3 linked regions of the Neodiprion lecontei genome follow. The main gene of each other region encodes a partner of the protein of the gene in region 2 in a complex. Links are inferred from orthologs where the notes say so. Each region holds a gene or a part of one and is shown on either strand. Other genes may lie near its edges. The genes, in order: RNA-binding protein spenito, zinc finger CCCH domain-containing protein 13 and N6-adenosine-methyltransferase non-catalytic subunit.

Region 1 (10,991 bases), on a different chromosome or scaffold from region 2:
TAAATTTCGGGAAAAAATCGTCATTTTGGTAAGTCATTGTAAATAATCGCGCAATCACATTTATTTAATCATGACGCAGGATTTTCAAGCAAAAAAAACTATCAGCGAAATTCGACACATCGAACGATTGTTCAAATTGTCAATTTCCGTTAGATGTGAACGTATTCATTTTTTTTTCTACGAGCCAAATAGAACGTTCGGTACCGTCGATTTTTACAACCGATTTGATGGCATATTCTATGACAGCACAGAACATTAGTTACCGAAAATTGAACAATTGAACACGTTCTTTCACACTTTTATGTTTGTATATAAAAAATCACGTTTCTATTTCAGATCTTTGTACAGAATTAAAAACAGAAACTCGAGAAATGGGTTTGCGTCATGAGTGTAAAAAATCGCTGAACTATTATAAGAAATGTTTACAATCATAGTATAGCTGATAGTGTAAACATGTTAAACTTGTAGGTGCGTCCTTTTATGTTAGCTTTTTCTGAATAACGATAACAGGATTAGTGGGTATTTTTGTTTATGTACATCAAAAAATGCTTTATTTATGCAAAGATTGTAGATCATACAACATCAATCTTCATTTGTAGTTCGAGCATTCATTAAAAGCTTCTGATGACATCTAAGTCCGCTGGATTTGGCAGCATTGTTTAGAAATCTGGAACATAAAAAAATATCTCCCGGCGACCCAACTTACCGTACAATCCAAAAAATCTGGCTGAACCATTATTAAGCTACGATCAGTATGTGGTTGAGGAACAAGATCCTTAAGTATCTCTGAGAGGCAAAAACCATAATACTTCTACGATCCAGCACTATTAAAATTTCTGGTCTCACTTCAATCTTATTTTTTTTTATTTTTATGTGGAATTGAAAATCATGCGATGATTTCTGCCTCTGAAAGATATTAAGGCCAGAATACCTGGAAAGCGGTCAAAAATCTGAAAAAGAGAACACCTCACCAACTTGCTATTGAACTAGAGAACCACTAAACTCACTTCACTAGTGCAACATGCAAATTTTCTGGACTTTCGTTTTATTTTGAGGAAGTTGTGCACTGAACTTCCAGCCTTAACAACAATCGTGTCAATACGACGAACTAACAATAGTCAATCTTTTTCTCTCTCCTTTAGTCTTTCCTTTTTACAGTTTCATTTTCCTCAAAGATGAGTAAGGAAGAAAGCGTAAATTTTAAACAATATGATTTCTTTCACTATATTGATAACTTGGGTACTTGGAGAGCAGTGTCGAAAACTTTTTACTTGGAGAACTTAGCACCCAGAGTTCCAAAACTATGAAATTAGCAACGATCTTCGAAAAGCCAGTTTATAATATTTTCTTCTTTACCAATAGAAACTTTTTTATTTTAATGTAAATGATGGAAAAAAAAAAATAAACAAAAACTTAGACAAATTAATCACAAGCCACATGATCACTAAAGCACAATTATCTCTCTGGATTTGCAATATGATGACTCAGAACCAATATTTCGCAACTACTTTGTTTAGAACAAGAAATAAACTGGCACAAGCCACTGGTTACACTGAGATCATTAGTTTCTTTTTGTTTTTGACAAAACTCGTATTTTCTTTTTCCATCTGTCATGAGATTGAGATCGATCAGCGTATTAAAACATTGTCGAATAACAAACCACAACACCAACTTCACGACCACTGAACTAAAATCAAAGAAAAGCCGACAGAAAAAAATGGAGATAAAAAAACGACCAAAGAACAACTATGTTCTTCTCTAAGCACAAGCATGCATTGTTTTATCAACCGAATAGTTTGTTAATTTTGGCGAACTCTGTTTTAAAACTTTGAATATCCTAGCATAACTCGAAACTTCCATTTCCTTCTTTCTTTCTTTCGCAAACTTGATTTTTTGTTTATGAACAAACAATCACAGACGTAACTCAGCTATTGATAATTTTCAACCACTAATTGAACTAAACTCATTTCAACTTGAACTTGATGGGTGGGCATATTTTTTTTTGACATATCTAAGAAATTAAACACAATCAATAGTTTTGTCTGCAATCGGCTCTATTTTTTCATTTCATTTCTTTTCTTTTCAACACCAGATACACTTTACCACCGCACCTTAGTTCGCCTCCGAGTGCGATTTGGACTTTCTCATATCTCAGATGTTCTGAGGGTTCGATTTCAAGATCGATGTTATTTTCATACCTTCATGATAACACCCTCGGAGGCGAGAACACAAGCACTGTTTTACATCACTGTACACAATTGGAGATTTCTGTAGTTTCTTTTTTTAATACCACCAAACACAGTCCTTTATGGTAAAGTTCACAGATTTCTTAACATGTTGCCAATGATTCTCGCGGCATTAGACGAAGTTTTTTTTTAGGGTTTTAGAAGAGATTTTGCTGTTCATTTTTCCCCACGGCCACTCAATCACTGTCCATGTTAACGAAATTCAATATCATTTTCACAGATAATTTATAGCACAAACACTTAAATCTTATGCATCTAAAATCTAAATCATATAAAAGTAAATTAACTGAATTTAATATTTTCATTATACGATGTGACCGTTTGATATTCTGTAAATTTAACAATAAACTAGTAGTTAGTTGTTGACCAGTCCTTTCGCATTTTGTATAAGAATAACAATGATCATTATTTACAGAAATCGCGATAAAGAAAAAAGTATATTAATGCGTGAGGTAAGAAATACTTTTGCCATTATTTCTCAGTTTGCAGACACCTTACTTTAAAAAATTTTCATCAATTAATGTAATTTGCATCCCTTCATAAGTATATGTATATATTTATATTTATATATACGCGTGTATATATAAATCCTAAGACGTTTATGCACTGCAGCAAAATTCGTACAATCACAAATGTGAAAGAACTGTGTACATGATAATTAACTGAGTATGTATACTAATTAGAATAGGTTCACTACAATTAAGTTATGTAATAGATTATGATTCACCATTATATCATATGCCATAACGGTCCAACGTTTATGACTCGGATTAAGAGAAAAAAAAAGTTATGCAGAACATTACTAAAATAATGTTTCATCTTCATAAAAATAAGTATTCCATTTTTAAATCAATCTTCGGAAGAACTTTGCAACTTTTCAATGTACTGTTTTGTTATCAGAGCGCTTACCTCGTGAAGCTATATCTAACATTTCGTAACCATAAGTTATTATTTCCATGCTTAATACATGTACTTCTTCTAACAGCCTTGTCAGAACTTTCAATTCTTCTGACCACAGCAGTCACTTGATATCAACATATTATTATGTCCTGGTATTTGGCTATTGCATACCCCCTTGGACGTGGTTTCGTCAATTTTTACAATTTGGCTGATTCTAAAAATGAACCGATAAATTTTGGGCTTCTGAAAAATGAAGCTATACAAGTTCCAGATTTTGTTACTCATTAGTTGAATAATTAAAATCAAATAATTCTGCAAGAGCTTTGTTTCGGGGAAAAAAAAAAAGATGTGCACAATCAGATGTAATATAGTGTGATTAATTTGAGACAATCTAGAAACACTGATCTGCTAAATACTCTGTGTATAGACCATCTGTACGTTAATCGTAATTAGTTACTTTCCTTAAAATTCAACCAGAAATTGAGGAAATCAGCCAAATTTTTGACCGAGTAATGTAATAGTATTGTAGTATTCAGCACGTTTACCTTTAATAAACCTTATGAGTAAGCGTAACTTAGGCACTGCCGCCTTTCACCACAACGATAACTAAGTGATCCTCTTTCAAACCCTCCTCGCTAAGGCTGGGACAAGTTCTTTTCAAAAGTTCGGTCGAAAAGGCGCACGGCGGGAAGGCATACAAGACTCCGGTTCCTTCTGTGTCTTTATTCAACAGAGATATTACTCCCGCAGCTTCTTTCTGCTTGAGATATGACACTAAGTTTCTTAGAGGTCGAGTTTGCACGTTTGCGTCATCGTTCGTGATGGTAGCGCTAGATCCGGCAAGACCTAAAAATATAGCATGTGAACTGGATGTTTGTATGCGTTTAGAAACGTCATCTAATTTTGGTTGGTCTAAACGAAGACGCTGCGTTATTCTCAGCATATGTTTCCCATCTTCATCCTTCATCAGCGCATCAATTATCTCTGTATCTCCATCTGTAAGGTGAAATTTAGCTGGAAATAAAGAATTTTTTAATATCAAAGCGCCTTGCCAAACCGCTATAGACTTTCGTGCAACTTCAGGAAGAGTTCGTGACGTAGACAGCATCCCTGTTCTAGCTGTTTCAGAATCGGAATCTGAATCCACAGGTCTTCTCCGCGGAGAACGTGATCTGGATCGATCTACACCTGGTTCCCGAGACAATGAGCGCCTCAAGCCCCTTGGTGATTCATATTCGAGCTCAGGTGGTGGCCGGCGGCTTGGCCAATCAGATTCTTCTCTCACATATCCCTCAGGATAAGCAGTTCCACGGTATCCCCCTCTGCCTCCTCCTCGTCTATCGTGCCATGGGGCACTTCCACGACCCCTGAATCCCCTTGGAGCATAAGCAAATTCACCTTCAGGAGCATAAGGATCGTACGGAGATTCATATTCCACTGGTCTTGGTCGAAACTCAGCTGCGTCTTCTGGGTACGGTCTAGGTTTGAACCCAAACCCGGGAGTAACATCAGCAAAATCAACCCTCAGTCTCCTATCTGGTCCCCCAAGCGGAAATCCTCTCATTTCTTTCACAGCAGCTTGGGCTGCGTCGATGGAATCATATAAAATGTATGCATTGCTATCTCCCTTGATGTAATCAATCTTTTTAATTGCCCCAAAACGATCAAACTCTCTCTCCAGCTGAGGCACGGATGTCCATGGCCCCAAACCGCCAACCCAGATACGAGTCGTTGGGGTAGCTTTACCATACCCAATTTTACACTGAAATTTACCAATGTACTGGCCAGATAATTCAACTTTGCATCTATGTGCCATATCCAAAGTCTGGAACCTGACAAAGGCATAAGCATTTCCAGTACCCGGTGGGGGTCTCTTGATATCGATGTCATCGACGATTCCATACTTGCTAAAGATTCTTCTCAGCTCTTCCTCGGTAATATTTATCTCCAAATTACCGGCAAACAAGGTTCGAGTCGCCAGTGGATCATCCTCAGGTGAAACATGATGCAAATAGTTTGGAAACTTGTCTTTCTTATTTTCAATTCTCTCAAAACCGTGAACAGGATGACGAATCATCATGTGTCTGGGTGGTCCATAATGATGCGGAGGACCAGGGTGAACATGTGGTGGTCCATGGTGTAGTGGTGGACGAACAAATTCGTGATGAGGAGGTGGAATTGTTTCTCTTCTGAGCTCCCTGTGAGGTGGAACTCCAACTGGTGGTCCGTAAACTCGTTCGTATCGTTCAATCGGTCTGTGCCTCTCTGTGGGCCCAGGTGACCTGGCATAGTAACGTTCGTAATCTGGGGGAGTGATGGATCTGGGTCGTCGGTAAGATTCGGGTCTTTCATAAACAGGTTCAACCAAGGCAAGCTTGTCGTATAAAATAATTCTTGGTTTTGCATGTTTCGCGTCTCTCGCATCCTCGGAACTTCTGAAGCAAACATAAGCAACTCGCTCGTCCAATTCATGAGAGATTCGTATGGAAAAGTCACCAAATTTCTTATACTCCCGGTAAAGGGTATCTTTTATTACTTCGTCGCTTGCTTTTGGATGTATCGAACTCACGCAGAGGACCTTGTAGCTGTACGGACGCTCAGGCGGTATCTCTCTGGGTGCTCGCATATACTCGTCCCTGTGAGAACTGGACTCAACGTATCTGGCATGAGAGGATGCTCTGGGAGGACTCGGACTCCGAGCCCCTCTAGAGCGCCGTCTGATTCGTTCCGGTGTAATCCTCTCATCGCTCGAATCATCGTATCTGAAAAAATGGGCAACATTTCTTGTCAAACAAGTAAAGAAAAATAGTTTAGAAAGAACGAGAATATTTTAATTATCAAAAAATTACGAAACTAATCACATATCGGGAATTCATACGAGGTTGAAAACAGCGCATGAGATTATACTCTTACTCGTCTAAGAAAAAAAAACCGATGCTTCACATCAGCAGACCGCAAGTGGAGGTTATATTGACCATAAATACTGTGGTCAACAAGCAGTAAATACCGGATTTATGCCACATTACCGTGAGATTAGGGCAATAAAATGTTGGTAAGGATTTCAGAGCAATGAACAGAAGTGTTGATTCCAGGGATAGTTGCGAATCATATTGGGTAGAAGCTCGATACTAAGAATTTAAAAACAGGCAAACCAGCGACTTCGTCGTGCGTAAGAAGTAAACTAGGGTCGTCGGACCGAATTGAAATTCAGTAAAACGTAGCAACTGACGAAGAGTGTAAAAAGAGTTTGGAATTTATGATACCCTGAGGTGGAACAGCATTTGGCATACCTTCCCATGGAGGATCTGGATCGCTTGACACGGGGCGGTGGAGTGTCCCGACTCGAGCTCCGTTTCATATTATTTCGGATTTTAACCGTTATTTTGTGGCGGTCGTCGCGCGGAATCCCAATCATCAACGCTGCAGAAAACCGTAAATAACTGACAAATAATTAATAAAATTATCCGCGTCAACTAAACGCACTCCACTCAACAGACGCACAGCAAAATGGCGGTGATCATTCGTCTCCTGACCGTGCCTTGTCGCGTCTTCCTCTCCCCCCTTTAGCGACGGCACAATGAATGTCGGCTAGTTTGGAGCACCGCTACTTGCCGCTTCCGTTTGTTTACGCTATGTTTTTAGATATAAGCGTGACACGTTAACGCTTAATTATTTTTTCATGACTATTTTAAAACTTGAAATTTTATTTCCCGCTCTTTGTTGCTTTAACAATCTTTGTAAATATCGCTAATAATTCTGATCTACTTGTCAACGCGTAGCCGTTCGTCGGCCGACGCCTTACTGGTTACTGGCCTTGCTGGCGTAAGATTACTAAGGAGTATAGTTGTACTGCATCGGTAACAATTCGATACCATTTTATGAATTCTAAAAGTTTATGATCTAAAATGTTTTTGGTAATGGGTAATTTTATCACCATGATACCATTTGAAAATCTAAGTCTGCGGATGAACGATCTTCTACGGAATTGTTAAGATGTCGGTAAGGTAGAATTACAATTAGCATTGACTAACATTAAATGAATCCTTGGTAAATACCTGTTAGACTGGTTGCAGCCTACAGAAGTACCCAGGCGTTTTCGGCGCTACCACGCATTTTCAAAAATAAGACTACGGTACTGCTTCAGTTGAAAATAAATGAAGAATCATTACTTGGATGAAGATGAGCCCAATGTGCTTACTTACTTCAGAATTATTACAGCACCTGCAAAAAAATGTCATTTAGAAATAACTGAACAATTGCCCAGTTTGGGGTTCGCACGAATTTTTCTGAACCGAGGGACAAATGATACTTTACCGTATCCTCATACTCGCAAGAAATGCCCCTATTTTTGGGAGGCTTTTTGAATCGCCGATCGTATAACGTGTGACTATGTAACTCGTTCAAACCAAAAGAAAAAAAAAAGAAAAAATTATCCACACATCTCATAGGTGCCTGAAGTTTGAATCGAACATTCAGATCTGTACGAATACAGAATTATTTGAAAATTCATGGCCCTAGAGAAATAACACCAACTACTCGGTAACAAGACCTTTTATATCTGATATTACAGTGGTAGCGTTCATAGTTTTGTGTATCTACATACCTATAGGTGTATTATGGTATTACCCAATTCTGCTCACTGCCCAATGTTTTGATTGGTTTCAATAACGATGACCTTTCGAGCAGATATAATCGACGCTACAGGGACGGCCTATTATACGTTTCTAGGCTCTGGGTATTTTGTCCCGTTCTTCCCGATGAACAAAGAATTATCGGATAGACAAATTCTTTTGATTCAAGCCTAAAAATTTAAAGCAATGCGATGTACAACATTGAGCAATTGATTGAAAATTTGAGTCACGTAACAATTATGAGGAACCCTATTCACGTTGATCGAAATAATTATTAGACGGCCCTGTATTAGGTATACGAGAGGTAAGTGACCAATAATGACAGCAGGCGTCTTGCAGTGGCAAAAAATCAACTTTCGTGACGGTTTCAATTCAGTCTGGCATCAGTTGATAACGAAAGTCATTCGAAGTATCATCGCCAAATTGAATCAAGATGAGAGAAATTGTTCACGTCCAGGTGGGCCAGTGTGGCAATCAAATCGGTGCACGAGTAAGTCTCTCTAATTCTAAGGGTTTTTTACTATTTTGATAAGATGAATTATATAAGGATCGTGCGAAAAATTTAGTCTCAGATCAAATTTCGTAGGACAAAATGGCTGATACGCGTTACATATAAGATTCGCACCTCGGTAAGATTCCAAAAAAAGGTGATGAGACTTTTGAGATATATGCAGCATATACATTATTTTTACTTTTTTCCAAACTTTGTGTAGTTTTGGCACATGATTTCGAACGAGCACGGAATAGATCAGACAGGAAAGTATGTTGGTAACGCGAGAGATCAATTGGATAGGATTAGTGTGTACTACAACGAAGCTGCAAAAAGCACATATGTTCCCAGGTCGATTCAAGTCGACCTGGAACCTGGAACCATGGACTCAGTGCGGTCGGGTGAATTTGGTAAAATTTTTCGGCCAGACAACTTTGTCTTCGGGCAAAGTGGTGCCGGTAACAACTGGGCTAAGGGTCACTACACAGAAGGGGCGGAGCTGGTTGACTCGGTTCTAGACGTCCTAAGAAAGGTAGGAAAATTATTGTCCGAACAATAGTCCAGCGGGTGATGATCGTAATACAGAAAATTACCTTGATATGCAGGAAGCTGAAGGATGCGACAGCCTTCAAGGCTTTCAACTGTGTCATTCCTTGGGGGGAGGAACCGGGTCCGGAATGGGGACCCTCATAATGTCGAAGGTCCGCGAAGACTTTCCCGACAGGTATGTTATACGTATCTAAAAATGATCGAATTTTCTCGTCAAATATACCGCTGCGGACATTGATATTTTTAGACACAATTTTACGGCACTTTGTTCAACAGGATCATGACGTCCTTCAGCGTAGTACCAAGTCCAAAAGTGTCGGACACCGTAGTCGAGCCATACAATGCCACTTTATCCGTTCACCAGCTCGTTGAAAATACGGATGAAACATTCTGCATTGATAACGAAGCACTGTACGATATTTGCTTCAGGACGCTGAAATTACCGTCGCCCACCTACTGTGACCTGAACCACCTTGTGTCCCTAACGATGTCTGGTGCGTAAGATATATTGTGGCAGCTGAGGGTACAATAATTACAGCATTGACGAATAATGGGGTTCACTGTGTCTTTAGAACCATCGTTCGATATGTACAATACAAAGATTTGCACATGTTTGTAGGAATTACCACCAGTCTGAGATTTCCGGGACAGTTGAATGCTGATCTTCGAAAGCTGGCTGTTAACATGGTACCGTTTCCCAGGCTGCACTTCTTCGTTCCAGGATTTGCTCCGTTGGTTGCGCGAAACAGTCAACAATACCAAGCTCTCTCCGTGCCTGAGTTAACGCAGCAGGTGAGGAGATCTCCATTTGAATCATAGGCAAATCATACAATGCTAATCAAGGATGCAGCCAGCTATAAATGTTTACAATTTTACTATACTCAACCTTCGATACATTTTACGATCACATGAAAGATGTTCGACGCGAAGAACATGATGGCAGCTTGCGATCCTCGCCACGGTAGATATCTTACAGTGGCGGCTATCTTCCGTGGAAGAATGTCGATGAAGGAAGTCGATCAACAAATGACAAATATACAGAATAAGAACAGCTCGTATTTCGTCGATTGGATTCCGAATAATATAAAAACAGCCGTCTGCGACATACCGCCTTGTGGCATGAAGATGTCGGGTACTTTTCTCGGGAACACCACTGCGATTCAGGAACTCTTCAAACGCATATCTGAACAGTTCACTTCCATGTTCCGACGAAAAGCGTTTTTACATTGGTGAGTTTATAGCGCACGTAGCAACCGCATGCCTGCATCGTCCCAGCAATGATTTTATACGACTGATTTTCATCATTCCAGGTACACCGGAGAAGGTATGGACGAGATGGAGTTTACAGAAGCAGAATCAAATATGAATGACATGGTTTCGGAGTATCAGCAGTACCAAGAAGTCTCTGCAGACGAGTCAGCGTTCGTGGACGACGAAGAGGTTGAAGGGGATGTAGAATTCAATGAAGACTAGTTTCATCCTGCGTGAAATTGATATGTAATTTTTGTTAAATTTTGATTACTTATTGTCTTTATTTTGCGGTGCAAATATAAACACATACCTGTATATGCCACTGATGGTGATGTATTGTAGTCGTACTCGTATTGTTCATATTTTGAATACGATTTCTCTGTTGCATGAAAAAGTGTCGATTGTTTAACAATAAAACGTCAAAAGCTCCTATTTTTGGTTCACCAAGAGACGATTAACCATTTTTGCTCTCATCTCCTCTCAATTTCTAAATTCCCATATCGATTTCAGATTGAAAGCTCGCGTGTGAGCTGATTCTGAAAGTGTTTCTCAGAGATTAGTACTGCACTTGCATTACACATACTTACAAAATGTTAAAAGAAACAATGATTTGTCAATTGTTTCTCGCAAAATCAGTATGTTAGGTTTTAGTGTGATGAAATGAAATGTGAGTGTATAATTCACGATGCTACGAATAAATGTGACACGTGTATATACATCATGGTTTATATTAACTTTTGTAGCGTTTTCCCAATAATCAATCAATAAGTGTATCAATGATCACCACGATTTCCTTCGGCACAAGTGATTGTTCGGAAACGAAAGTGTTATGGAAGCTGCTACGTTACAGGTAAACATAAACTCTATCATTGTTTCTCACATATCAGAATTTAATTTTAATGCTGAATGCACCAAGTCTTTGTA
Region 2 (11,636 bases):
ATGATTTGATAATAATTTCATTACTACAGACAAAATCTATTCAGCTAGATGAAGTACAATCGATAAAATTAATAATAATACAAAAGTAATTAGATGAGCGCTAATTAGAAAAAAATAATTAATCATGTTACCTGTTCATAATTTATCTTTAGAGAATCACAAGGTGTTGGAACACGTATTATTTGTACATTAGTTGGTAGCCTAAATTTTGTACAGTCCTTCGAATGCAAGTTGCTATAGCAACGTGTAAACAACACATTGCACGTCCGCGAGAGATCTAAGACGCGTGCGTAAAATGCGACTCAATGGTCTATACTCATACCAGCATAATTAATAAATGATCGTTCGATAAATTGGGTTTGCATCGAACACTAGACAAATAATGAATGACTATTTTCTTAAGTAATTATCCCATACGGGCTGTATTTGCAGGATCGCACATTTTTTCGCTTGCAGTAATGATGTAAATAATGGTACGTATGTACGGAAATTCTATTTATTTTTCGTAGCCTAAGCAGCAGACTTCAATAAAGGAACTTTGTATGATGAAAGTGTATTGATTAAACAAGAGGTATATAATGTGACACGATATTTCTCTTTGTTAACGAGTTTCTAATCCATTATGTTGAACATATATGTAATACATATATAAACATAACAATAATAGTATGTATATTAAATAGTTACTTCACTAATAATTGAATATTTAATATGAATTCCAGTAAAAAGAAATAATCTACAAACATCAGAATTCTGTAAGATGGTCGCGATAATTTTTAATTATTACTCCACGATCATTCAGGCCAATTTATTTTGGAATCGAATGTCCTATTTTTAAACATACTACAGGAGGCATTGGTGCAGTGCAATTTATACTCCCTTCAATGTGAACAGTACACTAGCTGAACGAAATTTCTAACTGATGACTAGCCACAAATGTAAGTAATATGTTACCAAAGTAAAAGTGAACAAGTGTTTAGATTTTACTAGCTAACGTAATTAGGTAATATGGTACATGTTGATACTCTTCACTAGACTCATAATAAATATGTAAATTATCTCGTATTACTGAGAGTTTACATTTTAATGCAGAAATAATATACTAAATTAGAAATTAATTTGCACCAGACCATGGAACAACAAGTGATCACAGATATGTTGAACCTTCATTTGGAAAGAAATAATCTTTCAAAGGATGGCTCAAGGAGTTGGTTTGTTGGGGGGTCTCTGTTAGGAGGACGAGGACTTTTTGCCACAACAGATATTGCAGTTGGAGAGCTTGTCTTTGTGGACGCCCCACTGGTAGTTGGGCCTAGAACACGAGATAAGCATTTGCCGCTCTGCATCGTGTGCTATAAGACCGGTTGTCCTCTGTTTCCTTGTGACAAGGGATGCAGCCTTCCAATTTGCTCCTCTGCCTGTGAACTCTCAGTTGAACACGATGCTGAATGCTCTCTCCTTCAAGCATGGAAACCCACTTGCGGTTCTTCTTGGTCTATTAACTTACTTAGAGCACTAGTTCCAATCAGAGCACTTCTATTAGACGAGCAACAGCGAGATCTACTTTACACTCTGCAGTGGCACTCCGGGCCTCAGCATGGTTCAGAGGTCAGGTCACCACTTGAGTGAAAAAAAGACACTGTATGTCAAATTAAAAATATGAAAGTCATTGTATGAATTTATATTTTCACAGATAGATCTTTTAAAGAGCAGTATAAAAATTCAAATGAATCAAATAGAGGAACAGTTCATGAGACGAGTGTGTGCAGTAATGGATACTAATTCGTTTGAAACAGCTGCAATAGTTGGGGAGTCTGTCACAAGCTTGCGAGGCTTATACCCAATGGGTGCTTTGCAGAATCATTGTTGTACACCCAATACTCGTCATTATTACGATTCTCAACAGAGATTATATGTAACAGCTGCTATTCCCATTAAGAAAAACGAGGAGATAACTATGACTTACACAGATTTGTTTTGGGATACAACGTTAAGAAGACGACATTTAGCTGCCACTAAACATTTCTTCTGCACATGCAGTAGATGCACTGATCCGCTAGTACTTAAATTTTGACTATGTGCCTCTAAATAATTTTAAATACTTATATAAAATTACAATATCTTCTATAACTTCTTAGGAAAATGGATCTTTGCTTGGAGCATTGCGTTGTGCTCGTAAGGAGTGTTCAGGAATTTTAGTCGCTGTTGAACCTTTAGATACTTCAACAGTGTGGGAGTGCAGAGAATGCGGATTACGCCTGAAAAACAGACAAGTATGTTACATACGTAAAACAGACAAGTATGTACTTATAAACTTCGTTTGATTTTTTCTTTTAGATTATTTCAATTCGATCAGCTTTGGGAAGTATAGTTGAAGAGATGATATACAAAAGTCCTAAGCAGATGTTGCGATTCATGAAAAGTGAACTGTCGGTCTTGGTACCTGCAACAAATTACGTTGCAGTTGATATGAAACTCAGAATAATATCTTGTCTTGGAAGAACCGAGAAGTTTTTGTGGGAAGGTAAATACAATTACTGTGCAAACTTGAAGGTTGTTGTGTATCTCTGTCGAATTGATTTACAGATTTGACAAAGGATGAGCTCAGCATCAAGGAAAAATACTGCAGGGATTTATTACGCTTGATTGAGACTTTAAAATGTGGCGAATGTAAGATGAAAGGTAGTTTAAGAAACATATATTTGCAATGTCGTCTCTCCATATCTTTTTTTGTGGCCACATTAATATTCAATAACTGCTCATTTTAGGCTTGATCTCTTATGAGTTGTATAGTACATTGATGGAGCTGAACAAACGCCAATTTAATGAAGAAACTAATATTGAGAAGTCTGAGTCACAGGTACAAAATTCTTAGACTTCTGTGAACAAATAATTATCATGAATATTGACTCTTTTACGTGACGTAGTTTCAGGTGAATGAAGAAAGTAAGAACCTGCTTGAGACTGCGATATTGATATTACAAAATGACTTAACTGCTCCCAAAGATTTGTTGTCTCTTGTTTCTGGTATGACAAAAAAATAAATATAAATTAATTATGAAGTTGTGAATATTAAATTCACATTCACATGCTTCGCCCGCATTTAAATTTAATGACCTATTCTAGAACCGAAGCTAATCTGACCCGCGGTTGAAAAAAATCAATCTTTGCATAGCTATGAACCATCGTCTCGACAATACAAATGTCTTGTGTGAATATGATCTCAATCGGTCGAGTCGTTCATAAGTTACACGATACAAAAAGGCGCACAAAAGAATTATATATATTAAGACCACGAATACGTACAATTTTCCCTAATATATTCTAAGTACTAAGTAACTATGCTTAGCAATGATACAAAGATAAAAATATTAACAATTGCAATGCATATGAGAAATGTCTATGTAACTTTTTGTAATAATATCTTTGCTTCTTCACATAAGCTCGTGCAAGGTTGCAGAGTTTCTTCATCATCGTCCTCATTTGCCTCAGCATAATTTCTGTAATTTGAAATAACCAAAATTAATTTTCATTACAATTGCGTGGCAAATATCAATTAATGACACATCATATTATTTCATCTTAATTATGGACAAGTCTATTATGTAAATGTAATCGAAAATTTCACCAATCTGGGTAATCTTTTCCAACGGTTCTCTAAATATGCATCTTTATTTTCTTTTGTACTCAATTTACCTGCATAGTAAATTTTCGCTGATTAATGAAGTTCTTGATGTCCGAGTCATAAATTGCTGCCTCATGATTGCAGTGTGTAGAAGGGCGACGTCATTCAGAAGAAATTTATCAGCATCTGAAAGTAGCGTGGAATTAAGAAGTAATTGAAGCTATTATAGTAAACACTAGTAATATGTAAAATATAGATTTACCATCTATGCAGTACTTCTTTGTTATGGATTCTACCATTTCCGCCCCTGCATATTTCATAGAGATACCAATGCGCTGGAATATAGCTTTACATTGCCAGCGACTTTGAGCAGTATTTTGATTCATGGTAAGAACTCGACGAGGCTGAGATTCTTTGACTAAACTTTCCCAATCTACACCCAAAGCATCTCCCAAGCCCTTGCCGCTTGTCTTAATATCCTCCTCAAGTTCTCCATCGGATATTTCTTCAAAGTCCATATTCTCAATATTTTCTTCTTCGATATTTCGGAATTCCATTTGTTCGTTTGTATCTTTTTCCTTGGTAAATATAGTCTCTTCTACAATTTCTTTTGGTGATAACTGTGAGGCTTCTGGAGTTTGTACAAGTACGTCTCGTTCATTAATCTCTGTACCTTTTTTAGGTAAGGGCAATTTTGGTGTCTCACTTTCTTCTTCTTCCATATTCAAAATATCATCAGGATCATCGCTGATATCACTCAAATCACTCTCCGTATGCAAAGTTTGGAGAGATTCATCCAAGCATGGACGTTTAGGTTCTGCAGCCAAAGGGGATTCTTTAACTTCCGATTTTTCGCGTTGTGGAATTCTTTTCTGAAAATTTTCAACAGATTTCTCTCTGCTCCTCCTGACCCTACCCTCCGCTAATTCCATCAATTTTTTATTTATCGGTTCTTCCTTCATGCTGCCATGTAAAGATCCTTGTTTTGACCCATGAGCAGAGCATTCATCTCTCAATTCCGGAGTGCTATAGGGTGGACGTCGTTTGCTTGAAACACAAACTTTTGATATAAAATATGGTACTATTATGCTTCTAAATTTTTCGAAATATTAATTATTATTATCAATACCTATGTAGTTCTCCTAAGTCTATTTCTTTGATTCTGTCATTTCTGTAGTGTCCTCGGTTGTGAGGTGGATTGTGGGGTGGATTGTGGGGCAAACTTTCCCATTTTCGGCCTTCATTCAACTTCCAATCAGGCATAGGGCTGTCATAGCGTGGAGCCCATTCTTCTTCATGAACCTCTGAATGTGGAGGACTTTCTCTATCCCACATCGGAGGTCGAGCCGCTCTCCATTCACGTTCCTCCCAGTCAGAAGTTTGGTAATTCCGGTCTCGACTACCATGCTCCATCTCATGATGGACATCCCAATTGTCATTACTACTTTCGTCTCTGTTATAAAAAAAAAAAAATGACGATTAAAAAAATTATTGGAAGATTTGTAAAGTTCAAATGAAGTTCTGTACACTACCAGACAGTTCTGATACAATCAATTTTTATGTAAACTAATATCAGTCTACACCATTAAAATGTAGAATGGACTGCGCACTTTCTATCCAAGCAATAGAAGTAATGTGTCTGCTACTGTATGAGAAAGATAAAATGTGATTATGACTATCCAGAGGTGTGGTTAACTAAGCACATTTTTATATAAAGACTGCTGCTTTTTGATATTTGCTGCACAGGCTTCAGGTTTGCATGCACAGTTCATCTTATATGTATATGGTCTATACCTGTTTACACTAGACCTCATTTTTTCACCCGAAAATATGGGCAGATGTGGATCCTCAAAAGGCCTTTCACTCTGCATAGCATAGCGTGATGGACGTTCATCTCTACCTCGTCTTTCTTCGAAAGGGCTGTTGTACCTTCTTGGTTCCATTGGTTTACGTCTTTCATCTTCATGAGGGTGGTGATCTCGATAATCAACTCTTGGAGGTTCCTCAGGCTCTTCCCAATGCTCAGGTGGCAATCGAGCATAGCCCCTATCGTAGTTTCTCTCTATTTCTAGGCTGCGTCTGGACCCATCTCTTCGTTCCGGTAGTCTGTCTATTTTTGATGGAATATGAGGTGGCTCCTTGCGCTCATGATCGGCTGGATGCCCTCTGTCAAACCTAGGATTGAATCTTCTATGCCTGTCCCGATCATAAAGATTTTCTCGTTCCATAACATGGTCACGAGCTCCTGTAGCTATGTTTTTGTCAACTACTCGATCAAGAGATCTTTCTCTTGGAAAACGCTCTTGTCTATCTCTCTCCACACCTTTGTGAGGCAGCATTTCTTTATCCAATGATCTGTCATAGCGAGCATCAAATCGTTGTAAAGCTCTGTCTCGATCTAAGGGTTTTTCTGACCTTTCTCGGTCTCTCTCACTCCGTCTATCCCTCTGTCCACTTTTGTCAAGCCCTCCATCTTTGAATCTATCCTTATCTCGACCATACCGACCATTCTTATCCATAGGATTAATAGCAGTTGTTGCCATGAGTGGTGGTATATCTCTTTCTCGAACTTTAACTGCATCTTTTTCACGATCTCGTTCTCTTTGTCTATCTCGACACCTTTCCTGTACTTCTTCTCGTTCTTTTTCTCGCTGAGAATCACGCTGATCTCTGCCTAATCTTGAATGACTTCTATCATCCCTTAAGTTGTGCTCCTTATCTCTACGTTCCTTGCTACGCTGCCGATTGCGTTCACTGACATAATTTTTCTCCTCGATGTCTCGAACCGCATTCTTACGATGGGAGTCTTCTTGGCTAGACGAAGGCTTTGATTTGGATGGATCATTTTTACGAATATCGTCTTTGTCTTTATTTCGATCTCCTTTGTATGAGTCACGTTCTTTTTTATCTATCTCTCTGGATCTTCCAGAAGATGTTTTACTCTCTTGGTGACGAAGTGGAGTTACCTCTCGTTTAGACCTCAATGGTTTCTCTGGAGTTCGACTGCGCCTCGATTTAGTATTAGAAAAATCTTTAGGATACTGGTATTTAGATTTCTCAATAGGTGGGGTTCTAGAACGTCTTTCTTTATCTTTTACTCTCTGTTTTGATTTCTCATCAGTTTTTACACGATCTTCCACAATGCGACTTTTATTTTTATCAGACTCTTTTGATTTATCAGTAGCCTTATTCTTCACTATATCTTTCAATGAAGGCTCATCTTCTCTAATTTTTTTATGATGCTTATCTTTTTCCACTTCCCTACTCCTTGGTTTTGGGGATTCACTCCGGTTTCGCTCCTTTACTTTACTGGAGGAAGCATGTGCTGACATGGTTGGTGATTTAACCTTGGTAGAAGAATGCTTTCTGGATGAAGAAATAGCAACTTTCTTAGCTGCTTTTACAACTGGTTCTTTTTTGCTCAACACTTCAATCTTGCGTTTCTTTTTTACGATAAGTTTTTCATTCTTCGTTCCCAGTCTTTTAAGCTTAAGCCTGTTGAAAAAATTAAAAATAACAAACATTATATAGCTCAAGTTAAAATGCCAGATGTTGTACTTACTTCTTTTTTCGTTCCTTATCTTCATCATAATCTGAAGATGCACTGTGATGTCGTTTAGACTTGACCTTCTTGACTTTCTTGCGAGAATCCGAAGTGGAGCTAGATGAGGAATCATCACTACTAGAGCTACTGCTGCTGCTGGATGTGCTAGAGCTGTGTGAACTAGATGATGAACTCATAGCTTTTTTTTTGTGTTTTGTTGTCTTTTCCTTGCCATGAATTTCCTTGTCTTTCTTCATTTGTAATTCTAATTCTCTTTGTAAGAGCTGAAGTCTTCTTTCTAAAGCTTTTTCGTCTTCGTATTCCAGATCTGTCTGGTTCCACTCTTCCAAATTAAGATCAGGACTATGAGACGTCTTTTTTACAATTTTTGATGTGACTCGCTTGAATGGATCTTCGCTAGGCTATTGTAAAAGTCAACGGTAGGTAATTCGTCATAACGCAATTTATTAATTATATTTAAAAATACTTGGGATTAATTCCAAAACCACTTGAAGGATAGAAAAAAAACTTGTTAGTATAATCATCGAAACTGATGGAGGAATTTCAATTTGATAAATCTCTCAATTAGAAATACTTGCAAATATAGAAGACAACTTTGAATCAAAGGCACTTACCACAGTTGCACTAGTAAGAGCATTATCTTTCTTCACACGTTTTGATGGGCTGATCAGTGTGTGCGTGATTGCGTACCTAGTACAAATAAATGTTAATGTGCCAATTGTTTCATAGAAGACTTTGAAATTGATTTTTAACTGGAAGATCATGAATAAGTTTCATGACATTTGACAAAAATATTGACAATTGTAACGACGTGTTACTGATAAAGAGTGGTAGATCGAATTTCAGGACAATTATTTATGGTGCTGTATATGGTCACTAATTGTCATGTTGCAAATAATCAACATACTTGCAACTTTTGCCGTACGAACAACTGCCATTCAGAGCCCAATTTCTACAGTAATCGGAATTGTTTTGGCCGGTGGAAGTTGCTGGTGGTTTGGTACCCAACCTCTCAAATACGCTAGGTCGTCGAGAGTCTGTGTTACATTTCGAAGGGTCAACTGTTATTTTTCTTATGTTTGGTTTTGACATATTATCACCATAAAACGATTTTAAATTGATACTGGAAGCACATAACTGCGGTATGCAAAATCCCACTTTGCTATCTTCTATCACAAAAACAAACTCAATGGATACCTACGATCCGGTACAATCACCATACAAAATTAGTTAATCTAAAATCGCAGGGTCGAGCCCCATGAAGAGTGTTAAGCTCGTGGATTAATTATTTCATTTATAATGGCAGTGAGGCCATCTCTCGGTAGTTGGAAAAGGTTATGTCTGTGATGTCACATCCCCGAATGCAGAAGTTTCCTCAACGGGAGATTAAGAAAAAACCCGGTAGCCTGGCAAGAAAAGAGACTCCCGAACGCTTAAAGACGATTACCCCTACTGATTAGTGATTAGTGATAACCCCTCGACAAATTCTTGTAACCAACACCGGCGCGTAAATGGGCCTTGGGCCATAAGAAGCCGTGTTCAGGATAGTTATCCGGTAGCTTCTTTATCGGCACTAACCGTTTAACACGCAATCCGATAAGCACATAAGACCACATTAGGGTATACCGTCTTTAACAGTCTTCAGTCAACTTAAGCCAACGCCATGGAGTTTCAAGTGTTTATATCAGTGTGATCGTTACTGTATTAACACGCTCACAGAGAAGCCACGCCAAATTAAAGTTACGTGATCGACCGTCAGACTACAACGTCACACTAGAGTCATCATGAAGTTATAGTATTTCTACCATCTCTACTATTTTCTATTATTCGTGTTTGAAGGAGCGTAAATAACATCTACGAGTTGATTGGACATAGGAGCGGTCAGTAACAAGCAGTAATAAGAAGGATGACCAATAGTGAATCCTAACAGCCCCCAATGTCAGTCGTCAGTGTCGAGCTTGTAATAAATGGCAATCTTGAGTTATGCGATATATTAAAAGATTAAGAAAGATTAATACTTATTAAAAAGACTGTGGAAAGTTGAAAACACATTGAATAATTGATAGAGAACGTCGTTCTACGTCAGGTTTCTTAAACATATAATTTTCGACAGGTTTCGAATAACTTATTTATAACCGCAAAATACGTCAGTATCGTTCTACGTATAAATGAAATGCTAAAAGGGAAATCTGTGCTATAAGTGCTAAGAAACAACTGCGTACATTGATTCAACTACTTATTGAATGGTAAGCTTATTGAATAATTTAAATACAAAGTTACATAACTATATTTCTATGCGATAGGTTATCTTAATGTACAACTCAACACTGTTTAGATTTTTTCCGAATTTTTTTCAACTCTGAAACTTTGAAGCTAGCCCCATGCTTTTCAATCTAAATTTTCCTATTCATTCCTATTTTTATCAAGCTCTAACATTATATGAATCGATTCATTACAATCTCTGAATCTATACTGAAAAATTATGGAGTCTAGGGATACTTAGTCACAATTAGTTTAAGCAAATCAATGTTTCATTAAATCACAGGCTTGCTTTTTTGGTTCTTGAATTAATATTTTTTACTCATCTTCAAACTCCAACTTATACCTTGCTCACCAGTGCAATGAATTAAATGTATGAAATTTGAATTTTTCCACAAGGTTTTCATCTTCTAAGAAATCATGCCTCTGTTCGGAAAATCTCAAAAGAGTCCGGCGGAGGTTGTAAAGGCTCTAAAAGAGGCCGTTAATGCCCTGGAACGTGGTGATAAGAAAGTAGAGAAGGTATGCAGCATGTAGCCAGTTTCCTGCCAAAAAGAATTCCTATTATGTATTTAAACATGAATCATCTTTCCAGGCTCAAGAGGATGTCAGCAAAAATTTAGTGCATATTAAAAACATGCTTTATGGGACCGCCGAAGCAGAGCCTCAAGCTGATATTGTCGTAGCTCAGCTAGCTCAGGAGTTGTACAACAGCAATCTGCTATTGCTCTTGGTCCAGAATCTTAGTCGGATTGATTTTGAGGTGACTTCATCAACCTCTGCTTTCACAACGAGATAAAGTACAAAATAGTGCATATGAAAAGGTTGTTATAATTTTGTATGATTCCTTCAGGGGAAGAAAGATGTGGCTCAGGTATTCAACAATATCTTACGGAGGCAAATTGGCACACGATCGCCAACAGTTGAATATATTTGTACGAAGCCAGAAATATTATTCACTCTTATGTCTGGGTAAGTTGTGAGATATAAATCATACTCAGTTTTGTTTTTTAATTTCAAACAAAATTCAATCAACTTAACCAGAGAATTCCTATACTTTCAGCTACGAGCATCAAGATATTGCATTAAATTGTGGAACGATGCTGAGGGAATGCGCTCGATATGAGGCATTGGCCAAAATAATGATTTATTCTGATGATTTTTATAATTTCTTTCGATATGTCGAAGTTTCGACATTCGATATTGCATCAGATGCCTTTTCTACATTTAAGGTAGTTGTCGTTACACATATATATGTAATTTTTTAAACTAATGTGTTGGTACAGTATCTTGGCAACACATCGGAAAAACCATCAATAGTCAGAGAATTTTGTCACTCTGGGAAACTTTGAAAATTATGTTCATAAATTCTTTGTGAAATACCCAATCATTCACTGTCAATTGCTACAGAGTTTTGGTATGTAATAACTTTTCATGTACGTAAAAAACATGCCATATGGTACGCTAGAAAAAAGTATAGATTGCCATTAAGAATGATAACAGAAACCCCAGTGACATGATTATTTCATTTTTTTACTATAAACTACTGTATTTTTCAAACTTCATCACCAAGGGTTAGAAAAAGCTAAATTTTGTGCTGGTTTTTTTTCAACTTGAGAAAGTTGGAGCATTTAATTTAAATCAATATGTTTCTACTATGTACATCTTATTATTGTTAAAGAAAAAAAGTTTTCTGAGGAGTTTCATTGTTTCAGGAATTGTTAACAAGACATAAAATACTTAGCGCTGAATTTTTAGAAGTGAATTATGACAAAGTCTTCTCACATTATCAAAGGTTATTAAATTCTGAGAACTACGTAACACGTCGACAGAGTTTAAAATTACTGGGAGAACTCCTTCTGGATAGACATAATTTCACGGCAAGTTGTTTTGATTAAGCAATCAAATGGTGAAATAACATCTGTTGCTACATAATTTTATATGTTACAGGTCATGACTCGGTACATTTCAAATCCTGATAATTTAAAGCTGATGATGAATATGCTTAAGGAAAAGTCACGTAACATTCAATTTGAGGCTTTTCATGTTTTTAAGGTAGAAAAATCACCTGAGTGTGATTTTATTTTCAATGAAACAAGAGTGCGTTTATTCAATTGCCTTTCTCCAATGATTTCAGGTTTTTGTTGCCAATCCAAACAAGCCCAAACCAATTTTGGATATCCTGCT
Region 3 (8,580 bases), on a different chromosome or scaffold from region 2:
TAGCACAAAATCGTCACGTCGATTAATTACGTGACATCGAGTTATAAATTTCTTTCATTCAAGCTGCAATTGCGCAATTGTGTGTATTTAGAAAAATTCAATTAGCATATACAATTAATTTAAGTTAAAGTAAGCTAAGTTACAATTGTATCTTTTTGAAGACATCTCTTAGAATTCTATTATACACTGTACAGCATAGTTATATAAACTCGTCGTATATTTTTATACCAATCTTGATTTTTGCGCAGGTTTTTCTATGAATCCTTCACGTTTTGTTAGTAGAATGGACCATTTTATAAAATATACCTGCAGTGAAATATGCACAATTGCGCTGCTTTTTCATAATATGATACGTGAAACAGTGTGCTTCGAATTGATATTTGATTACATAATTTTTCATTTTTTTTTAAATAATGACGTCTCTTTTATTGTGTCAACCGATAGATTAATAATTAAATCTAGTATATGTAGTGTTTAATATACTTTTTACTCACTGATGAAGTAAGCCAAAATGTTGCTGAAATTGTTTACGCGAACGAATGCCACTTGGGATAAGTTTTGCCTTACTTCACAACTATGTTACAACAAATTATCGAGGTTTGGTTCGCAGAATTGTTCTGTAATTTTACTGAAACATGAAAACGTTACCTCATCGAATAGAAAATACCTGAACTCAGTTATAACATTAATAATTAATTCGATCTATGATAATAATTTGTTGCACTCGATTTGTTTAAAAAATTGTCTCAATGTAATTTAGCTACGTTAAATACTGATGAATTATGTGTTATTGTGAATTTACTCATTAGTGGAATTTATCAGACGAATTGCAGGAGTTCAGAACTTTGACAGAATCAAGATACATAGTCTCAAAATACCGATCATCTCTATTGCATTGAAAGTAATTCGTGATACATATTGTCAGATTCTTCCCAAAGTACTCGTTTGTAAATCCATATTAATAACAGATGAGAGCTGTGAATCAAGTATTTATACTTATTATGAATTACCTATTTTCATATTACCGTATTGTTCAATTCAACCTATAGAGTACAAACAAGTTGACTTGATCTCACATAGACTAAAAAATAAAAATTTCTTCTTTCCCGAAGGAATACAAATATGTAGTTTGTTTTTCTTAATCTATAAATTATTTCTGTGTAAGCAGAATATTCGAGGCCAATATTGGCTGTATTGCCAACACAGCTACACATAGATAATTCTAGGAAGGTGCAATACCATCCAGACTATCATATGTGTTTAAACGCTGTTAGACACATAATATAATTTTTTTCTGTGTTCAGAAAATAACTTATTCATTTTCCCTTCGTAGATTAACACATTAGTGGTAATGTTCCTGCAATGGTGTAGAGAGCAGTCGATGCACATTTGCAGAACATACTTGAATAACATACAAGTTTAGTGTGAAGGTGCACGATACCGGTGGAAGTATTAGGAAAAGCATATTTATACATATGTTTGCCGGTTATATCTCGTAAACATAACTTGGAGATGAGTTTTTGTTCAGCATCGAGCTATCGGTGGTTTACGTCATTGGAATCTATTTTATTCTTCTGTGTTCATCCTTATGTTTCTATTGGCGTCTTGCATCTCTAGCGTTATATTTATGATCTAACATGAGAGAATTTTATATTTTAATTTTTAACTCCGCATTTAAATAAACGAATTTGATCAATAATTTTCAGACTTATGATTTCAAGAAAATACTTTATTCTTTTTAGTTCGTAATCAATACAGCAATTTTGGAATGGTAAAAGATGTAGGCTTTTAACCATGCATTTTCTCCAGTCATTTTATTAGTATTATGACCAGTCGATGACAATGACAAATTCTTAAGAACATGAAGTAACGACAGTGTTTTGCTGAGTCCAAGCAGACAGAGCAAAGTACAGCTATTGCAACAGCCGGATATTGAATTCACGATGATTAATACCGTTAACTTGATACACATTTTTAGATATTTCAAACCCTGTTAAACAGAATTTGGTTGTGTAATGCAATTATACCTACTTACTAAAGAACAAAAAAAAAACAATTATCCAATATGAGAGGTTCAAATTCACTTTATTGATTCAGAAACGTACAGTATGCATTTGTAAACAACTAACAAGAAAGAATACTATTGAGCAGCATCACTATCAGTTGATGTAGCATGTTGTCATAAATAGGTTAATTGATAAAAAATTGTTCTTTTGTATTCGGCATGAGATATTTTTGTGCGTTCAAGTCGATAATCGTTAAAAACTTGTAATCTATTAGGAATTACAGATTATCTGCCTCTCCCCCGACCTCGATTGAAACCACCCCTCCCTCTGCCAGAGACTTTTCCTTTCGGTGGTGGAGATTTGGGTCTGAGTGCTTCTATTCTTTCGGTACATCCAGTTGTGATCTGGCTAGTTGCAAAATAGCTAGTGTACAGATCAGTGTTAAAATTCGTATTAGTCAATTCTGGTCCCACTGTAAGCCAGCCTGGCCTGATCGTACTGTCACGCCCAAATAAATGCAATCTGTTAAAGAAATAGTAGGGAAGATATAATAATCTCATTTGCTAGCAACAAGAAGTGAGATTTGGGTTTAACGAAGATCTTTGGAAATTGCATGGTACTTACCGTCTTCTGCCTAGGCAGAAATGTTCAATAATGTGGAAAATTTCAACAGGTTTCTCGATAGATCCGTACTCAGGTTCCTCAGATATAATCAGATCAATATCTACGTTTGCATGAATAAAATCACCATCTGTAGATCTTCGTACAGTCCCTTTAATTCCCATTAAGCAATGCTCTTTTGTTCTCTGCAAAACTGCTTTAGTATCTAAATTTTTACTGTGTCCAGGATTATTTATATTCGTACGTATCCAACAAATGTCTTCACATCTTCTGAAGCCCCACTTTCTCAAACAAAATCTACCCATGTCTAATCCATCGCTACTACCACACCAGAGGAATACAAAACTACGACTTGCCGCTACTTCGCCTATGTCGAGCTCCATGATCTGGAAAAAAATTATTATGACTCTTAGTTAAAGGTGCGTTGACCAGGTTTACTAAAAATTCATTACCGACCATGCCTAACCTGATCCCAATTCCAAAGTTGTACATTTGTGGCTCCACATGTCCTTTGATATTCTTCAAGAGGTGGCTCAATGAGAATAACGTCAAATTTACAATTTAGTTCTTTCAGATTGTAAGCAAGGAGATCGGTTTTCAGGTACATGGGGGGAGTTGCAGTGTCTGAAATTAGGTCATCCTTAAGTTTAATAAGCTCTCGCAACTTTGGATATTCTTCAAATCGATCCGCCAATCCTACATCTCGTATAAAATTCTGAGGGCGTTGTCCAGTGTCGATAAAGTGTTGGCAGTAGTCATTGTGGGGATTTGAGGATTGTGTTCCCTGATTGAAGAAAAGGGTATCATTTGGTATGAATGTGAATCCAAGTTACAACTGATTTTACACCTAATACAAAAGTTATGCAAGAGTGGGTGAAATATAGTTTACTACAAATTTCTGAGCGTTTTCCTAAAAGTACACAAAGAGGGTTGCTTTTTTTTTTTTTTTGTTTAAACATTATTCAATTACTAACACTGGAAAAAAAACTGATAGTATTAAGAGGTTGCATACTTTAAGAAACGTAGAAGAATCTTTATAGACTATTTCGTTGGTTGACACTGTGTCATCCTTCTGTTCTCTAAGGTCGTCATCCGACTTGACAGATGACATTTTTTCACGTTTCCTTTGTGCATCATTGATGTCTGTACCCAAAACTTGTCTAAGCTCATCCACGCTCGAAACCCCAAGCTGAAAATAACATAAATATTACAAATTATAACGTGTTTACATCAGACATAACCTCAAAATCAGAAACACGATTTTAGACTGACTGATCAGCGAGAAGTGTGTCCTCACCGTTTGAGCCAATAATTTCTTTCGCTTTTTAGAGCGCTCTCGAAGTGTCTGCAACATTATAAACTCCTTGTTATTTTAAATATTGTCTAAAGTAAAACTGAACAGAGGCACGAAATTGTCGACATGTAGCAGGTGGCCGAAAATACACCCATACGTAAGCTGACAAGCAATCTGTTGTGCTGCCAAGTGGCGGAGCCTACCGGAGAGCGGAACTAGATTAATTTCCAAGAATGCATGACATATATTGGATCTCAGAACTGCATCGGGGGGTTCAGTAAATTCAGTTTCATATATAGTTTGATGCGGGGTGCAGCGATCCGTTGTCCGTAGTTCGCTCCTTCGTCTGCTCTTTACATTCGGAACTGTCGACCTCCGAATGAATTGCGTAATTTATCAAACGCCGCGGTGAATCGTGAGAATGCAATTACTTCCGGTGCAATTCAAACTCGCGAGTGTAATAATAAATAAAGCGCTAGTCGCAAATTCATTATGTGTTTAGGCGAGTAGAGTGAAAAAATAACATCAAGTCTTGTTGTGACGGGCGCTTATTAATTCGTCGGACCTCGACACATGTGATGTAAAATGAATGAATACGTTTTATGGGACGAAATGCTGCGCGGCTATGTCGTACCTCTTCAAAAACGGTAAGCCGCTCTTTTATAATAAGCATGGTTGCAGGAAAAGTAGTTAATTGTAAGTGCATTATAATTGGCGTCCTCTAGTATTTCTTTCAGGGCGGAAGATGACTGTCATAAACAGTAATGTGATGTGCGATATAAGTATGTATGTATGCATTTCAAACTGTTATTTCCATAATTGCGGAAATATCATTTTCGAAGTGGATTTAGTTTATACTGTTCGTCCTTATACTTTGACTGTCTAAATTAGTGGTATAAATGTAATGACTGCGAAGTTTCTTATATATTCCCATAAATTTTAAAATAAATCGCAATTTTTTGATATTTATGTATATAACGTATACTGCTTGTCATCTGAAATTGAATCATTCGATATTTTCTCCTTAAAATTCACCGCTACCGAACGCCCGCACGCTCAAGGTCGTCGCGCCTAGTGCGCTTCCACGTTGTAAAGTGTAGAGCAAAGGGATTTCGCCTCTTAATTAGCTTTATTGCATTCGTCCATTTCATTTCACTTGCGTTTCTTACTTATGAGTCTTATAATCGCATATTCGCGCGCTCGATATGGTGGCATGGAGGTCCCCATGGTTCGATCGGCAGGTTTGGAGAAGGCCGCAGGGGTCTGAAACTGACCGCGACGGGTCTAATAAAGCTTAGTCCTTACATTCCCAGACGGTGTCAATTTGGACAATAAGGACAATTGTAAAATTATTTGAAAGTAACGGAACCCAGACAGAAAGCGTCTGGATTTGGGACCTTCCGGAAAAGGCCTGAGTTGCCTTCCCTTGCACCGGTGTGGAGAAGGGTGGCCTACGGTCAGGACTTGGAAAGCATTCGACTCAGGCCAGACGGTATAAAGATATCGGAGTGGACGGTTCTTGCGAACGGAGAGATATCAAGTCTGGTGATTTCTCAGTGTTGTCATTCTAGTGTTGTGAATTTGCAAATTCTGTTAACTGGTTTCGTGGAGGTCCCGGTTATTCCGACGCGCACCTGCCGCGACTTGTTCCAAGACGTTTACATTCCTCTCCAATTGACGTACATTGCTACGACATCCCGAGGGCTGTCCCATCCTGTAGGTAAGAGAGCTCTCTTAATTGTTTTAGCTAAGCGAATGATCATTCTCATTGTGACATCTTAACATAAGTTGGAAATTAAGCCTCCGGCTTGCAGTGGTTTGTGCGTCATTTCACGTACTTGGATTTTACTTGATTTGTTGAACAAGTTCACTATCTTTCATTGGCTTGCTCGGGCTTTTCCCCTCTACTCCGTGAGGGTTTTTATGCCTCGGCAAGTTGTTGTCCGTTGCTAGTTTGCCAGCGCAACTGCCGTGTTTTTATTTAAAAGACCCGGTTACTCATTCCAACCCGAATTCTTCCTTGTGTAGTATAAGAATAATTCACAAGGTATATGGTAGAAGAGGTAAATACCGACTGGAACACCATCCTGGTACCGAAAGCGTAATTACTCATGAGCATGAAGTTAGTAACGTTACTGCGAAGAAGAAATCTGACGGCTTCGTTCGATTTCATTCCACGATGGCTTATTTTGTGTTGAAATGACCCTTCTCTACAATTCCACGAACGTGCTTGAGACACTTTGACTTGTCATGTTGGTATAGGTCGATATTCAATTTCATAAGATTGCATTGATACTGGTTTTGATGGACAAAAAAAAAAAACAACGAACAACATTGAATTTACTTTTGACAAAACAAGAAGCGTTTCAGTGAATCTGTGAAATGTATAAGTTTTTCTACGAAAATAAGCCCAGACGTGGAGCGAAATCAAACGAAGCTATTAGATGTTTAACTAACCTAATCTGATTTGAAATGAACAATTGATGTCTAACGACAATTTGTTTTTCTTGAATTGCTTAACGAACATCACTATATCCTACAAATATATAGAAATTTGGTGAATTCTCAATGTTTGACTATCTTGTAATCAAGTCAACTATTACAGAGGTATTGAATTTCGCTTCACCGGCAATTTCCTTAAACGGTATAAAGATATTTTTCGTAATTCGTGTACGAAAAATTGAGAAATATTTCCAGGTTCTTTTGTGCCTACGAATATAATTCGGGTGGCCGGCCGGAAACCGGAAACGTAAAAAGTGTTGTTACGCCGCGCGGTAGGTTGTATATCGGTTGATAGATAACGAGTGTATTGAATTGTTAAACGTCGTATCGTTGATCAAAGGTGAGAAATGAATCACCTTGCTTCTCACCGCTGTCACATAACTGAAATATCCTTTCACATAGAGAGGCGTAAAAATTGACTCAAAGTCATTGAACATCATTGCGACTCCTGGTGTGGAATCACATGCGGATAGCGCTGAAGAAACGAAAAGCAAGCGTTGGAAATCATATGGAAATCGATGCAAGTCTTGCGATGAAGGCGAAGCGGTTTCATTTCAATAACATTCTTATACTTGCTGATTTTTATCTCATAAATGTGCTTTCCTTAAGTTTCATTGATTTCCAATGAGCTCCCAACGACTAGGTGATTTTCGGTAATTTCTTGTGATTCCATTTGAACTGATTCAATGCGCAAATCGCTAAAAATCGTCCAGAAAGCTCAGAAATAATTGGAAACGAGGGGTAACATTGGAAATCGATGTATACAGTAAGTCTCGGGGTAGACGTCAAACTGTTTCCATTCATTAAAATTTTACTGATTTCCGTCTTTATGATACTGTACCATCCGTTTATTGTCATGGTTTACCGTTAAGTGATTTCCAATGGTTTCCCAGCGTTATATGTGTAAACATAACGGTAATGACCAGTGATTTGTCGTAGCTCTATTGAAAATTGTCTAGAGCGCTCGTAAGTCATTGAAAATAAAAGGCAAATTAGGTAGAAGCAATAGGAAATAGTCACTACTTGAGATCGTAAACCACTTTACACGAAGCGATTTATAAGAAATCGTTGAAAATTAGCCTTTAGTTTTCAACCAGAAATCGTTTGATATCACCTTAAGTTGTTTAAAATTATACCTGAAATCGGTTGGAATCGCATGAAGTCGAGTGAAATTGTTAGGAATCACGTGAAATCATTGAAACGTATACCAATCGCTAATCGTTACCGGATCTCTAAGCGAAATTGCCCTTAGGGTAAAAGTCGATAGAAATCACTCTCAATCAATGTTAACCCATGGTAATCATTGATTTGTTTTCCAAGTAAACGGCCTCTCGTTTAAAGGTTGAACAACGATAAGAGCCAGAATCGCCGGCAAGAGGAACCACGTTGCGCGACGCGAGTCATTCGATCCGGCGTTCGCCGCCCACCTCTCCCCTCCCCTCCCCTCCCCTCCCCTCCTCTCCTCTCCTCTCCTCTCCTCTCCTCTCCTCTCTCCTATCCAGCGGCAATTCTGTCGAGCCTAGGTCCGTCGATTTAACTTCCAAGACGCGCGAAGAGTCGGAGAACGACAGTCGGGTTGAAAGCGTCGCGAGTATCGGTGTCACGGCTCTCCCACAGCGTTCAATATTCGTTCGAATTTAGCGAATAACGCGCGGGACGGCGCAGAAAAAAAACTGCGTAAGAGAAAAAAAGGAGGGAGGTCGGAGATCGGGTGATGCTGAGGTGACACCTCGGGACCCGCAGGGCTGCATCGCCGTTCGCCGCGGGGAACTGATTGCCTAACTGCCTGCCTTCTTTCTTTCTTGCTTTCTTACTTGCTCTTTCTTTATTTTTAATTACATTCGATTCGTTTATTCGCCTCTTCTCCCGCGATTCGGTTGACGGTTGTGCCGACGACTCACGTGCAAAGTCGAGTGTCAGTGCCGCGGTTTCGGACGACTGCATGCCTCACGCATCGTCCCTGAAACTGCAAGAAGAGCGACGACCCTATCTCATTGTCAACTAAAAAAAGGTTATTCAAATTTCTGACATTTCCTTTACCCCTCCTTATTTACATCTCGTTCACGATTAAATCGTATACCGTTAATTCTTGATGATATATACTCCTGCAGCGAACGGGTGAAGACATCGAAACTGGTACTAACGTTGTTGTAACTT

Evidence for each region.
Region 1: zinc finger CCCH domain-containing protein 13 (region 2) and RNA-binding protein spenito share a complex: the UniProt entries of both Drosophila melanogaster proteins name them as parts of the WMM complex. The link is inferred for Neodiprion lecontei from reciprocal best matches to the Drosophila melanogaster genes Flacc and nito.
Region 3: zinc finger CCCH domain-containing protein 13 (region 2) and N6-adenosine-methyltransferase non-catalytic subunit share a complex: the UniProt entries of both Drosophila melanogaster proteins name them as parts of the WMM complex. The link is inferred for Neodiprion lecontei from reciprocal best matches to the Drosophila melanogaster genes Flacc and Mettl14.

Annotation. Positions count from the first base shown.
Region 1 is NC_060260.1:35,832,320-35,843,310, reverse strand, and holds RNA-binding protein spenito, read right to left. Parts: upstream 6,938-10,991; 5' UTR 6,562-6,937; coding exon 6,437-6,561; intron 5,909-6,436; coding exon 3,721-5,908; 3' UTR 2,080-3,720; downstream 1-2,079. Other genes in the region: tubulin beta chain, read left to right, coding at 8,211-8,267, 8,491-8,799, 8,873-8,991, 9,093-9,310, 9,436-9,608, 9,732-10,045, 10,127-10,289. UniProt on the Drosophila melanogaster protein: RNA-binding protein that acts as an associated component of the WMM complex, a complex that mediates N6-methyladenosine (m6A) methylation of mRNAs. M6a modification plays a role in the efficiency of mRNA splicing and is required for sex determination.
Region 2 is NC_060261.1:34,040,481-34,052,116, reverse strand, and holds zinc finger CCCH domain-containing protein 13, read right to left. Parts: upstream 8,650-11,636; 5' UTR 8,283-8,649; coding exon 8,098-8,282; intron 7,881-8,097; coding exon 7,805-7,880; intron 7,592-7,804; coding exon 7,188-7,591; intron 7,121-7,187; coding exon 5,420-7,120; intron 5,079-5,419; coding exon 4,755-5,078; intron 4,673-4,754; coding exon 3,888-4,672; intron 3,812-3,887; coding exon 3,697-3,811; intron 3,501-3,696; coding exon 3,401-3,500; 3' UTR 3,045-3,400; coding exon of another isoform or gene 2,928-3,044; 3' UTR 2,861-2,927; coding exon of another isoform or gene 2,769-2,860; 3' UTR 2,683-2,768; coding exon of another isoform or gene 2,587-2,682; 3' UTR 2,555-2,586; downstream 1-2,554. Other genes in the region: protein eyes shut, read right to left, coding at 132-139; SET domain-containing protein SmydA-8-like, read left to right, coding at 1,132-1,608, 1,694-2,059, 2,139-2,273, 2,338-2,524, 2,587-2,682, 2,769-2,860, 2,928-3,044; protein Mo25, read left to right, coding at 9,870-9,971, 10,045-10,212, 10,303-10,421, 10,513-10,681, 11,165-11,329, 11,400-11,504, 11,587-11,636. UniProt on the Drosophila melanogaster protein: Associated component of the WMM complex, a complex that mediates N6-methyladenosine (m6A) methylation of mRNAs, a modification that plays a role in the efficiency of mRNA splicing and is required for sex determination.
Region 3 is NC_060260.1:28,912,984-28,921,563, forward strand, and holds N6-adenosine-methyltransferase non-catalytic subunit, read right to left. Parts: upstream 4,122-8,580; 5' UTR 3,982-4,121; coding exon 3,925-3,981; intron 3,817-3,924; coding exon 3,640-3,816; intron 3,412-3,639; coding exon 3,094-3,411; intron 3,014-3,093; coding exon 2,631-3,013; intron 2,529-2,630; coding exon 2,291-2,528; 3' UTR 2,067-2,290; downstream 1-2,066. Other genes in the region: protein bicaudal C, read left to right, coding at 4,524-4,568. UniProt on the Drosophila melanogaster protein: Non-catalytic component of the WMM complex, a complex that mediates N6-methyladenosine (m6A) methylation of mRNAs, a modification that plays a role in the efficiency of mRNA splicing and is required for sex determination.